2 linked regions of the Saccharomyces cerevisiae S288C genome follow. The protein of the gene in region 1 interacts with the protein of each later gene in a biochemical or structural test. Each region holds a gene or a part of one and is shown on either strand. Other genes may lie near its edges.

Evidence for each region. The genes of interacting proteins can lie anywhere in the genome.
Region 2: of the proteins of RSR1 (region 1) and BUD2, one has a biochemical effect on the other in vitro, tested with the Saccharomyces cerevisiae proteins (one study listed by BioGRID).

Annotation. Positions count from the first base shown.
Region 1 is NC_001139.9:793,025-798,932, forward strand, and holds RSR1 (Ras family GTPase RSR1), read right to left. Parts: upstream 2,469-5,908; coding exon 1,650-2,468; downstream 1-1,649. Other genes in the region: CCM1 (Ccm1p), read right to left, coding at 1-29; YGR153W (uncharacterized protein), read left to right, coding at 3,068-3,721; GTO1 (omega-class glutathione transferase), read right to left, coding at 3,774-4,844; cystathionine beta-synthase CYS4, read left to right, coding at 5,519-5,908. UniProt on the Saccharomyces cerevisiae protein: Ras-related protein which binds GDP/GTP and possesses intrinsic GTPase activity. Involved in development of cell polarity during the cell division cycle, and essential for bud emergence.
Region 2 is NC_001143.9:264,602-271,061, forward strand, and holds BUD2 (GTPase-activating protein BUD2), read right to left. Parts: upstream 4,859-6,460; coding exon 1,544-4,858; downstream 1-1,543. Other genes in the region: MBR1 (Mbr1p), read left to right, coding at 188-1,207; YKL091C (phosphatidylinositol/phosphatidylcholine-binding protein), read right to left, coding at 5,117-6,049. UniProt on the Saccharomyces cerevisiae protein: Stimulates the GTPase activity of BUD1/RSR1. Participates in the regulation of bud-site selection.

The sequences.
Region 1 (5,908 bases):
TTCTTGGGGCCACATCTGGCCATGTACATGTTTATATTTATCTATCTGTTAGGACTTGTGAAACAATGCTATTTTCCTGTGCACTATGGACTATGGCTTTGCTTTTACATTTTATGCCTCCAATTTTTCACAATCCTGTCCGACGCTCAGATATTGGTGTGGAAGTAGAGCTAACTCTCTATCTCAGAAAAAAGGTTAGAGCAAGGCAGATCTTTTGCAATAAGAATCAGTTACCATCGATCGATTTGAATTCATATTACTAGTACTTTGCAATACACTGTGTAAGAAGATGTCATAAAGATTGAGAAACGGTCATCAAACTTAATGTAAGCAGAGACACGAGGATTGATGATGAAGTAAGATAATGTGCGACAAGGAAGAAAAAATAATAGCATTATGTAGAGATATCGATTCCCTTTTGTGGGCGCTATGTTCTGGAGGAGAGTTTCTAGTATATTCCTTATCCATAATGTTATATGTGATCTTTATCAACAGTGGAATCCCAACAATAATGCAATTATTCACCCATTTTTCACAAGCAAGCAAGCATTATGAGAGAAGAACGAATGTACAGTCATTTAGATGATAAGATTGGAAGTAGGTCATGATAGTCAGGATTATGTAAAGACACTTGGTGTAACCCTGTATCGGCTGATTTATAATATCGAGAAAGATAATATAAGAAGCGCCTGAGAGTCAGTGGATCGATTATCGAAAATAGAATAGAGACGTTCACGGAGACCCACTGAATGTTTCGTATTAAAGGAGGGATGACTACTAAACCATTTTCACCGCTACTGGTGGCCATTTTGTATTCTTCCATTTACAAGAATTGCTCCCGACTTTTGTTCCATCAGTGGACGATAGACCATTGTCAAACACAGTAATTCTATTTTATTCTTGAGATGAGATGCCGCAATATGACCTGATATGAATCACCCTAAATGTCCGATCTAAACAAATAAAAGGCGTGCGAAACAGCCTCACGACGAGATATGAAGTCGAAAACATCGGCCTAATTTCTGTGCTTTTTAGAAGACTACTCAGATTTTCAATATCAATACAGTGAGTTAGATCTCAGGTTGAGAAGAAACACTTTGATTTTACTAGATAGGAAAGAAAAATGGACTAATTAATCAATCATTTTGTCATCGTTGAAACTTGATAACGCACGCTAAACGATAACGACTATGTTGGAGGGAAAACATTAACGATTACTCTTTTAAGTAATTGCGAAGTATATCTGAGACTAAAGACCCTCTGAATTAATTATATCAATCAACATAAACTATAAGAAACTACAGTGTGAGCTTTAGTTACGAGAGTGTGGATCTGTTCATTTAATATTTTTTATACGTAACGCAGCATCTACCGTAAAATCCCATAGATTGCGGGCACATGGCGCAGTTGGTAGCGCGCTTCCCTTGCAAGGAAGAGGTCATCGGTTCGATTCCGGTTGCGTCCATATTTTTAACATTTCATTTTTTTTGGGTTTAAATTTATTTTCAAACATTATTAATTGATTTCTTTAAAAACTTATACAACGTATGCTAATACTTTAAACTAAACCTTTTAGAACTATAATAAAACTATTTCAAGTAAAGTCTTTTTATCTGATATCTTGATTCATTTATAATAAAATTAAGTGACTATAGAATAGTGCAAGTGGAAGCGTTTTTCTTCTTTTTCTTTTGTTGTGAAGTAGCGCTAATTCCTGTCCTGTTGCTAGAACCAGATTTCGGAACGGCATGTGACGGTTTGTGCTTTTCATTAACCGGAGTAGATTGTTTAACTTTAGCTTGTCCTTGTGAAGATTTGTTATATAAACCTTTTGATGATTGCTTATTGTTTGATTGTTTCGTATCCTGTTTCGCAGAACTAGGGAGCCTGGTTGATGGAGACTCGATTTTGCTAAATTGTTGACTTTGATTTCTTGCGTCTTTAACTGCAACACTTTCCATTTCATTCCGAATGATTTGCCTAACTAAATCAACGAACACTTCATCCACATTGCTCCTCAACAAAGCGCTTGTTTCATAAAAGGGAACTCTACCCCATTTACTGCTTACCTCTATACCTTCTTCCACACTTATTACCCTTTCATTGATTAGATCAGCCTTGTTACCTATTAGAACCATTGGAACGCGATCGGAATCTTTGATCCTAAGGACCTGTTCTCTTAGCTCCATTAATTCTTCCAAAGATTGCCGATCTGTTACTGAATATACCAACAGGAACCCCATTCCTGACTTTATGTATAATTCTCTCATTGCAGTAAATTGTGCTATACCCGCTGTATCTAAAATTTCCAGGTCGAATACCTTGTTATCGATCTCGATGGTTTTCCTGTAAGAATCTTCGATCGTTGGATCATACGTATCCAAATAAACTCCCTGTACAAACTGCACGGTTAAGCAGGATTTACCGACACCACCAGCACCCAATACTACTAATTTATAGTCTCTCATTAGTCCTAATGTTTCCTAGCCAAATATTTCTAAGCGATGATAGAAGCCAAAATATTAGAACGTTGTATGTAAATGTTCTATATCGTTACTAAATAATAGTATTATTGTTCAGTGGAGAGGATGAAATTTCAAAAACTTCTTGGCGTAGTTAAGAACGAACGCAATGGTTCTTTTTTTCGAGATCGAGCTCTACTTTACTTTTTTCTTTTTCTGTCCTTCTCTCTTTTCTTTTTAACCTTTTTCGACGATATTTCGCGTTTGAGAATGTCGAGGATGAATGCGCTTTGACGCGAATTAGTTGTGAGGCTGACGTTGTGATAAAAAGGCGATGATTCTTGGGAATATACAGTCTGTTTCCACTTGCTAGATAAAATGTATGATATTCCAAAAATGCCTTTCTCTATTGAACTGTATGACTGAGATACGCCTGCTTTTACCTTGTATATTATGAGTACTATTCGCCTTTTCCCATAAAGTTGTTTTTTTCTGGGGTTTATGTGTATCGTAAATGGTACAAAATAATAAAATTCTTATCTTGAAAATACTGTTTAATACTTTTCATCATTACTAAATAGGTTACGAAAAGAGGTCTTTGAGAAATGGGAAAGGCCTGTTTGAATAAAGAAGTCGGCACTTACGAATGTGAGGGGGAAAGAGATACCTACTCATTTTTTACCTCTCTCTCAGATATACAGGATTCAAGTAGTAACGAGGAACAATGCGGTGTAGGAAGTATATTGAGTGAAGATAGTTTCACGTTTGAAGGGTCCAACGTGAGCATACGGTTATTTTCCTTGGACTTAAATGCCTTGAATGAAAATGAGAATGGATCCAAGAATCCTGTGAAATTTACCATTCCGCCAAAAATAGAACAAAGAAAGGAAGCAAGACAAAGAGAGAAACGTTTAAGGAGGGTGGCAGTACTACCTGAGAATTCGAGAAACTACCTTGTTGAATCAAGTATGGATTCAAGTAGGGAATACAGTCAACCATTTTTTGACTGGAGGCATGAAATGGTAGAACATGGAGAGGAGAGTGTAAAACCGTGTGGTTGTCATAAATCGAGAAAAGCAAAATGCTTCAAAGAACTGGAGATGGAGAATATAGAAAAGGGCGATATAAAGAAGAGTCTCTTTTACAGAGACATAATTGAATGGTGCAGAGACTATGAAGTCAATAAAACTAGGGAAGTCTGTGTTCCGTCTATACACGAGTTTTACCTACATGGAAATGGAAGTGACAACCTCTTTTGAAGTATAGCCATGCATATAAATATATGTGTGTGTAAGAAAATATTAGAAGTTTTCATAATCTAGAAATGTCAGGCTTTGGGCCTAATGGCACTATACCAAACTGATTGATCTTGTTCCTACTTACTTCCATCCTGATGTAAAAGAGCTTAATATGATTAAAATCTGTAGTAAATCTAAACTCTGCGTAATTCCAGTATAGATTAATCAACCACAAATGAAGGTACGGGAAACCATCCCTTATAGTTTTCAAATTGCATTTGAAGTGCTGCACGTACACGACGTCAAATCTAATTATTGATGGATACAATCTGATATCCGCTTCAGTTAACCTCTGTCCTAAAACAAAATATTTAGCCAAGATTTTCTGTTTGTTACCACTGAATTGCTCCTCTAAGCGCTTATAATTTTCTTTTAGTACACATTCCATCTTCTGCAAGTTTTCAAACAGTGTTTTTACTTCAGTTTCGTAAATCTTTCCGTTTTCTGCTAATCCGACTTTATAGACACCAAGATTAATCTTCGGATGAACCCATTTGATGTTCTTATCAATCTCGTCTATTAAATCATGCGGAACTAGATCAATCACGTTCGTTTCTTCGCTTTGGATAAATTCATCAAACACGCCACTGTTCAAAATTCTTATGATATCGCCACTCTCATTGTTAACAATTTTCCTTGTTTTAGAATCCCACAGAACAGGCACAGTGAACTTTGTACCGGGGTACTTAGGATCATTTAAGTAGTACAACTCGCTTAACCTTGATATATTTTCCACCGGGTCGAAAGCGCCATCCACGAACAACCTTGCAGAGTCATTGTTCACATCACCTAACTCCTCAGATTCGTCTAATTTAGCTGAAGCAATGCCACCAGTGGCAGTAAAGAATCTCTCTTTATATTTTTCCGGCCGGTGTGGAGCAGGTAAGAAACGGGCACCCTTGGAGTCTAATTGCCAGTGAGATAACACAAGCCCTAGAACAGGTTCTAATTTCTTCAAAGACCTGGCAAGAATGGCTCTATGAGTGAATGGACACCCAAGGGCCCCGTAAATATAATACCTTCCTTTTTCTGGTTTAAAAACAGAATGTGTCTTAGAAATTGTTCCCTTGTAAGATACTGACATGGCTTACTGTTTATGATTATTTTTACGAGTATTTTCCTCTATAAGTGGCCATCTCTCCAATTGGCAAAGTCAAGACTTTTGTTATGTCAATATGTGCTACCAAAAATCAAGGGTATTTTCCCACCAGAGCTTATCAATGGCAACTGTGAGATATGAACAGCAGTTAGTAAGGGTGTGTTCTCATCCGACCCTCTGATTCATTTGGTGGCCATTACATTTTCCCTCAATGACACATTCCCCTATTTCATAACTGATTAAAATGGTAATGGCACGTGATAGTAGTGGCTCACAAAACAAAATTTTCTTTCTCAGCGCTGACAAAGCTTCATTTGCATTCTAACCTTATCACAACAACTTCAACTTCACCCAAGTAAGGATAATCAGCTCTGTCGTGACTGATAAATGCTATATCCGGCATATGCAGTCCACACGGCATTACCGTTTCACTAATTTATTGCCATCTTCCTCCACAGTTTTGCACCGAAAGGAAAAAAAGAAACCAACACCGAAAATTTTTTTCTCCTAAAGGTTAAAGTAAACGCAAGGCACTTCACCAGGCTTGTATATATAAATGTCGTGATGCTTCTATGCCAAAGTAAAAGGCAACACTTGAAGATTTCGTTGTAGGCCACTTGCTCAAAGGACATCTAGATAAATACGACGTAAGAATAAAAATGACTAAATCTGAGCAGCAAGCCGATTCAAGACATAACGTTATCGACTTAGTTGGTAACACCCCATTGATCGCACTGAAAAAATTGCCTAAGGCTTTGGGTATCAAACCACAAATTTATGCTAAGCTGGAACTATACAATCCAGGTGGTTCCATCAAAGACAGAATTGCCAAGTCTATGGTGGAAGAAGCTGAAGCTTCCGGTAGAATTCATCCTTCCAGATCTACTCTGATCGAACCTACTTCTGGTAACACCGGTATCGGTCTAGCTTTAATCGGCGCCATCAAAGGTTACAGAACTATCATCACCTTGCCGGAAAAAATGTCTAACGAGAAAGTTTCTGTCCTAAAGGCTCTGGGTGCTGAAATCATCAGAACTCCAACTGCTGCT
Region 2 (6,460 bases), on another chromosome or scaffold:
ATGAAAATGTATTATTGGTGCGAATGGCGCTAAATACAGAGGTTTTTTTTTCTCCATTCCACCCTTAGAAGTTTCTTGTTCAATTCTCATTTTAACTGTTGCGTTTGTTATCGATTAATGTGTTCTGAACTCGAGTAAAAGAACAGGTGTGTGTGCTAAGTAAGAAGAATTATTACATTTACCCAACATGAGGATGGAAAAAACAACAGACAAACCACTTTCTGCAGGAGATATGAACGATGAATATTCTCGGGGTCCAATCGACGATATAGACTGTTTGAACTTTTTCGAAAGGGCTGTTCAGGACCCATGTTGTGAGGCCTGTGACACAGAAGATGCAGATGAAGAACTGAGAGCAAAGCTTAGTAGCTTCAATTTTCAGCCTGATTCATCTCCGTGTAATGCTAAATGTCAACAGACACTGAATCCACTGTGTAAAATAGATGAAGCACTCCCAGCGGAGTCAGAATTAGCTCCATCGAGAAACGGCTCAGTATCTGAGGCAAATTCTGATACAAATTCCATAGCTTCTACTGTCCATGACCCTGTCGACTCCAAATATGGAGGCATGCCTAGCTTGAGAAAGGCCAAAACAACGTCGTACTTTACTTCATCTTCATCGAACAATACCACAATGAGGAACCCGCTAAAAAAATGTAATACCAATATAAATGGCCTTTTAGTGAACGGAAGGAGCTCAAGCTCCTCCAGACAGTCTATACCAGAGCTCTTTAGCGGTGCGTGTACTAAAAAGAAAAACAACGTATTACTGAAAAGTGAAACACCCAATTCAGAATTCTCTAGTAACTCACTTCAACATTGCAACTCAAGGTCGTTTTCTCTACCCAGGTCAAGATCAAGGTCTTCTGCCATTGCCATACCAACACATTTGTATGGCTTGGAAAAGTACGTTTCACCTGGGTTGGATACTTTGACTGCTGACCCAGAAGAAAGTATTGAAAGGTTTTCAAATAATCGGCCCCGTGAAATATCATCGTGTTGTCCGAACGATACAGGGGACACCTCCTCATCATTATCACATTCGAACACTTCCTCATCACTAAATTTCCCTTTAGGTACAAATACAAATCAATTCCACCAACCAAGGCAGCCAGTACAACAGCAACAGTCTTCGAAACCAAACTTTGGTGCTGGGAGGAAAAAATCTTTCATTGAGATGTCACTAGCAAGTTCCTTTGCAGGCTAACATTCTCGCCACCTTGGAATAACCGTATGATGTTCAACTTTGTTATTTATTTCCACATTCTGGATCGCCATCTGTTCGTTTTTATTAAATATAATATATACCCATTTGTATCTCCTGTTTGGTTTCCAAATTTCCATATACTTATCGCTGTCTATCATCTCCTCTCGAAGCATTTTTTTATATACTATATTATGAGAAATCTTTCTGAAAAATTATGAATTACTTTTTTCTGCTGATAGTACAACCCGCTATATACTGTTACAAGTAGTGAATAAAGAAGTAAAAAAAAAAAAACTTTCAAAGGAAAGAATATGAAGTGAACATTTTTTTCTACGATTAAGATCCCCCTGTTTCTTTTTTCTTTTTGAACCATCTTGTCAGCTTACGGGAATTTTGTTCTTTAGGAACATCTGCGTTAGGAGGTTTCCTCATTATCCTAGATAACTTTGTCGGGGAAAATCTATTCCCCAAGTTACCTTTACCTTGCGAGTTTGGAAGCGTCAAGTAATCATCCTTGGCTCCATTTTCCGATGATGTTCCATGTACCGATGTTTTGTTGCTACTCTTGGGATTCTCATCACTTACATCAATAGTCAAAAATTTACAGTAACTATCTCCAACTGTGTTATTGGATTTACTAGAGACACCTTTTGTGAAGAATTTCTGCAATCTTGCGGAAGAGTTTTCATTTGTTGGTTTATTTAGTAGTTTAAGAACAATTTCTTTTCCCTCCTTTATTTCTTCATAAAAAATTTTATGTGAGAGTGAAATGGAGTATTTTTTGTCTTCAAACAAAGTGCTGGAAGCACATTCATAACCTGACAACCGTTTTCTAATATGATTAATCCTATTATAGAGTAAACATGACTCTTGCTCCAATTCTTTCATTGCATGCTTTTCCTCTTCTGCTTTCGGGATTATAGAATTAAATTTGATGCCTGAATTAGCGCCATTATCCAAATCTCTGCTTCTGGAACCTACATCATCGCTTTTCAGTAGGTTCATTAAATCATCTCCGAAGATCTCCGTGTTGTTTTCAGTTATTTTCTCAAATTCTAACTCTCCAATTTCTGGCTTAACCTCAATTGGTGAATCCAAATCTTTTTTATCCACAGACAAATTTAGGCTGCTACCGCTTAACAGGCCCTCCTCTTCGATTAATTCTCCCTTCCCACCATTATCCATGTGATTGTATTTTTCCATCTTGGTCATATCTTCCTGACTGAAATTAACAATCAAGTTAACAAACTCAGTTTCTCTCAAATTCTTATCAAGCAGATAAGGAATCTGAGGCAAATCATCCAACATCGTTTGTTCAATGGCCAATTTGGGTCTCGAAATAGTAGAACTTAGGTTCAATATCTTTGAATTAAAATCTAGTTTCTTTTGCGTCATTTTATCAATGTAATCTAATAAGTCATTGTGTCTTTTATCGATAAAGTTATTCATCTTCATTAGCCAGGGCTCTTTGTTTGCAAACTGCGTCAAAGTGGACAGATTAAGTAAAACTTTACTTATTAGGGTAAGATTCCTTCTTGCTGTTTCGTTTAAATTTTGAGAAACATATTTGAATAGCTTAGGGTTTAATATGACTGGACAAAAAAACCTTAAAAACAATAATCCTGATATACCATTCAAAATTATTTGCAAAGTGTCATCGATACAAATTATCTCTAGTTTTTGCCTAAAGATTTTTAAAACATTTCTTATTTCAATCGGCAGGTCATTACTCGTTGCATACAGCCTTTTCCAAATCTTCGTAACCCAAGAATACAATCGTTTGTAGTTGTCGGCAATTATTTTCCTCTTTTTTACTTCATCTTTTTCTTTTACTCTAGCAGGATCCAATTCACATGATTTGTTTGACTCAATGATCTCTTTTAGTATTGCACTAAGCGCTTTACTCAAATATTCATTACCCACTCTGAAAAAGTACTGTTCAATCGACTTTGTTAAGATAGAGTTACCACGGAATAAACTGTTGAAAACATGCTTTGAGTCTAAATTTTTCTGGTTTATTCTTGAAACCGTTCCATCAATTTTAGCCAATTCTTTGTCTATAAGGACGTGGAACCATTCTTCTATTCTTGACAAAGATTGGAATATATCGAGAAAAATTATGGATGTTTGCGTCAATTTGTTATCATTCTCCATTGATGAAGAAGATTTGTAAATTAGATTGGAAACCATGGACAAGTTTGCGTTCATCAAAAGTTTTTCCAATTTAACGAAATTGGTTGACGGTAAAATGAAGTTCAAATTTGAAGAAATTTTAATACAGATTGTTCCTATTTGAAAATTTTTGTTATCAACGTCCATGATGGGTAGTCTTGTTTCCTTATTATATCTTGTATCATTTATTATTTCTTGTGTGATTTTTATTTTGCCTATCAATCGTAACCGTTTTTTATTATTGAGATCGTGGAATAACTGCTTGATTTCCAGATAAGAATTAGTAAGTCTTAAAAGTTCATTGAACTGAAACTCTTCTCTCCAAAATGGATTAGAGGAGTTTGAAACCATGGATGTTCTAGCCCATGTATGGCCCCAGGCCGTTATGTCTGTGAATATTGACCATGGCGTATTATTCTTGTCATTTAAATTGATTGACTGAAAATTAGCTTCCAGTATGGAAATTTTAAAGCTATTCGATATCTTCATATCATTTGATTTATCTGAGCCAGTAATAGATAAGTATTCCGACCTAGCGAACGATTGTAACGCTATAAAACAATCCTCCAGGTCTATTCTTAAGGGAAACTCTACAATAATTTCTTGAGAAATATCACTAGAGTTGGTGGCAGCACTGGCAATATTTTCTATGCGAAACTTTTCGAGGCCCAACTGGCTCCTTAGTAATGGCAATTCACCTAAAAACAAACTGTTTTCACTTTGTAAAACAGATGAATCCAGAATTCTTATCTCTGATCTTAAAAGCTGGCTAATATTCAATGAGTAAATCAGAGAGCCGTCACTCTGTAAAAGAAGATCTAGCATGCCGTTTGATTTAAGCACCCCCATAGCGGAAAACCAACCTACGCTGTTGTCATCATTATTAATTATATCAGGGCTTTCTAAAATATTTGTTGCTGGCGGAAGGACGATGTTCTTAACGATGGGCCCAAAAACATTCAATTTGTAAACCAGCAAACTTTCTGGTTTCGCCATTTTTTTGCTTTTAAATTCTAGAGGTCGCGATACTTGAAACTTATTAAATATACCATTTGTCTTCATTGAGCTCCACCAGATCAGACATGTTAGCAATTTCTTGAAATCACTCCAACTTTTAACTCGCAGGTAAACTTTATTATCTTTACCTGAGGTGTTTACTTGGATTATAAAATTACAATTTGCATTAATATCCTTAAAAGAGGAATGCTTATCCTTAATAATCTCGATTCTACATTGCTGTAGATGTTTGATAATTGGCTGAATATTAGTAGAGTCTGCTGTTAACTCATCGATTGAGTGGGTTAGTGCACCTGTACTGGTAATTTGCAGATAGTGTGTCTTCCAGTCGTTTAAGGACAGGTTATTACACCACTGAATCTCACCCTTAAAGGTATTCTTGTAATGCTTAACGTTGGACAAAAATTCATTCAATTTGAAATATGATGTTCGACTTTGGGCCGGTTCATTGTTGGAGCTCATAATATGATACAATCAAAGATAAACACCACGACGTATGCACGGATAAAGTTTTCAGTCTGACCGAGTAGTTATTCCTACTATTTTGTTGTTTCTTCCTCCGTTTTCATAAATGGCGTTTGTTTGGATACCTTTCTTTTTTATCGAACAGAACGCGTTCAAGAATGAAAGTCATTAATTATTATTAGATACAGAGATATACATATTATAGAGTATGCATGCTATATTCACGGAAAGCTACGACGAAGGCCTGTATCATAGTTAGCTGGTAACAGTAAATTTACCAAAAATGTTGGGAATTTCACCTTCTGGTCCGATGTATCTAGGGTCTCTCCAGGGACCAATATCGGAATAGTAGAACTTATCATTAGGGTTGTGCAAGACAGATGTACCACCATATTTAACAGGCAAGTTCTCGATTGGAATTTGTTTTAATAATTCCTTTTTATAAGAAGAGCCAAGAATAAAGATTTTTGACACGGTTACTGGATCCAAGAAGGGTTTAACCATCTTGAACATCGTCGAGAAACCAAATGGACTGTGTATAATATAAAACTTACCCATTCTTTCAGGATAATAATTTTGACTGATATCTGCAACATCTTTAATATAGGAAAGCACATGATAAGCATTAGAAAGTGAGATACCCTTCAAGTCCAGCACAGTGCACGAAGTTTCAATAAGGTAGCCAGCTCTTCTCGAACACGCTGGGACCCGGTACGTGGCAAATAATTCGTACTCCTTGACTAAGTTTCTTAGCATCTGTTTTTCGGTAGTGATCTTGTACATTTTCTTTAAGTTAATTCCTCCTAGTTCTTCGAAGTACAATGGTCTCCCATCCTTATCAACGTGATGGTAATACTGAGGGTACATTTTGGCCAATTTGATTCTTTCTTTGTCTTCGGCTTCCTTGTTGTTTTCATAATCCTCGATAATAGTGTTGGCACCGTATTCTTCCCTCCATCGTTCAGTTTCTACAAACATCTCAACGCTAGCATTGATATCAAATTTCCTTGCCCGTAGAAATCGCAATAGCGTAGAATCATCCAGCCTTTCTTTGTAATTCTTTTCTAACAAGATTGACCTAAATTGCAAAAGCGCTTCCTCTTGCTCCTTAGTCAAATTGCCGGGAGTACCTGGCAAAGCATTGGGGGAGCATATTTGAGGATAAGTATCGAGTATGCTGGTTGTCATTCTTCCTTTCCAGTTTTAACAGTGCGCAAATGTATTGCTTTTCAGATTTATTTCCCCGTTATACAAGTTCAAGGAAATGTTTGAGTAGAGAGAATCACGATCTAAATAATAATCCGAAGAATTTAAAAAGGAGTAAATAGGGGCATACAAGAGGGGGAATTTCAGAAGTGCCTGTTATGTAAAAAAGATATGATAACACATAATGGATTGCATACCAGTAAATTTCCATATGTACTATGCCGACCTCTTTTCATGTAAACGCCTTGCAAATTCATACTTAATGATTACAAGAAAGTAATATGTAAATTTTAAGCTCAGGTTCAAGGTTTATAAGGGCCTTCGTCTCTGATAGAAGAATCAAGTTGGTAAATCCAAATGGAAGTACGGGTCCCAATAGCAGGTTTGATTTTT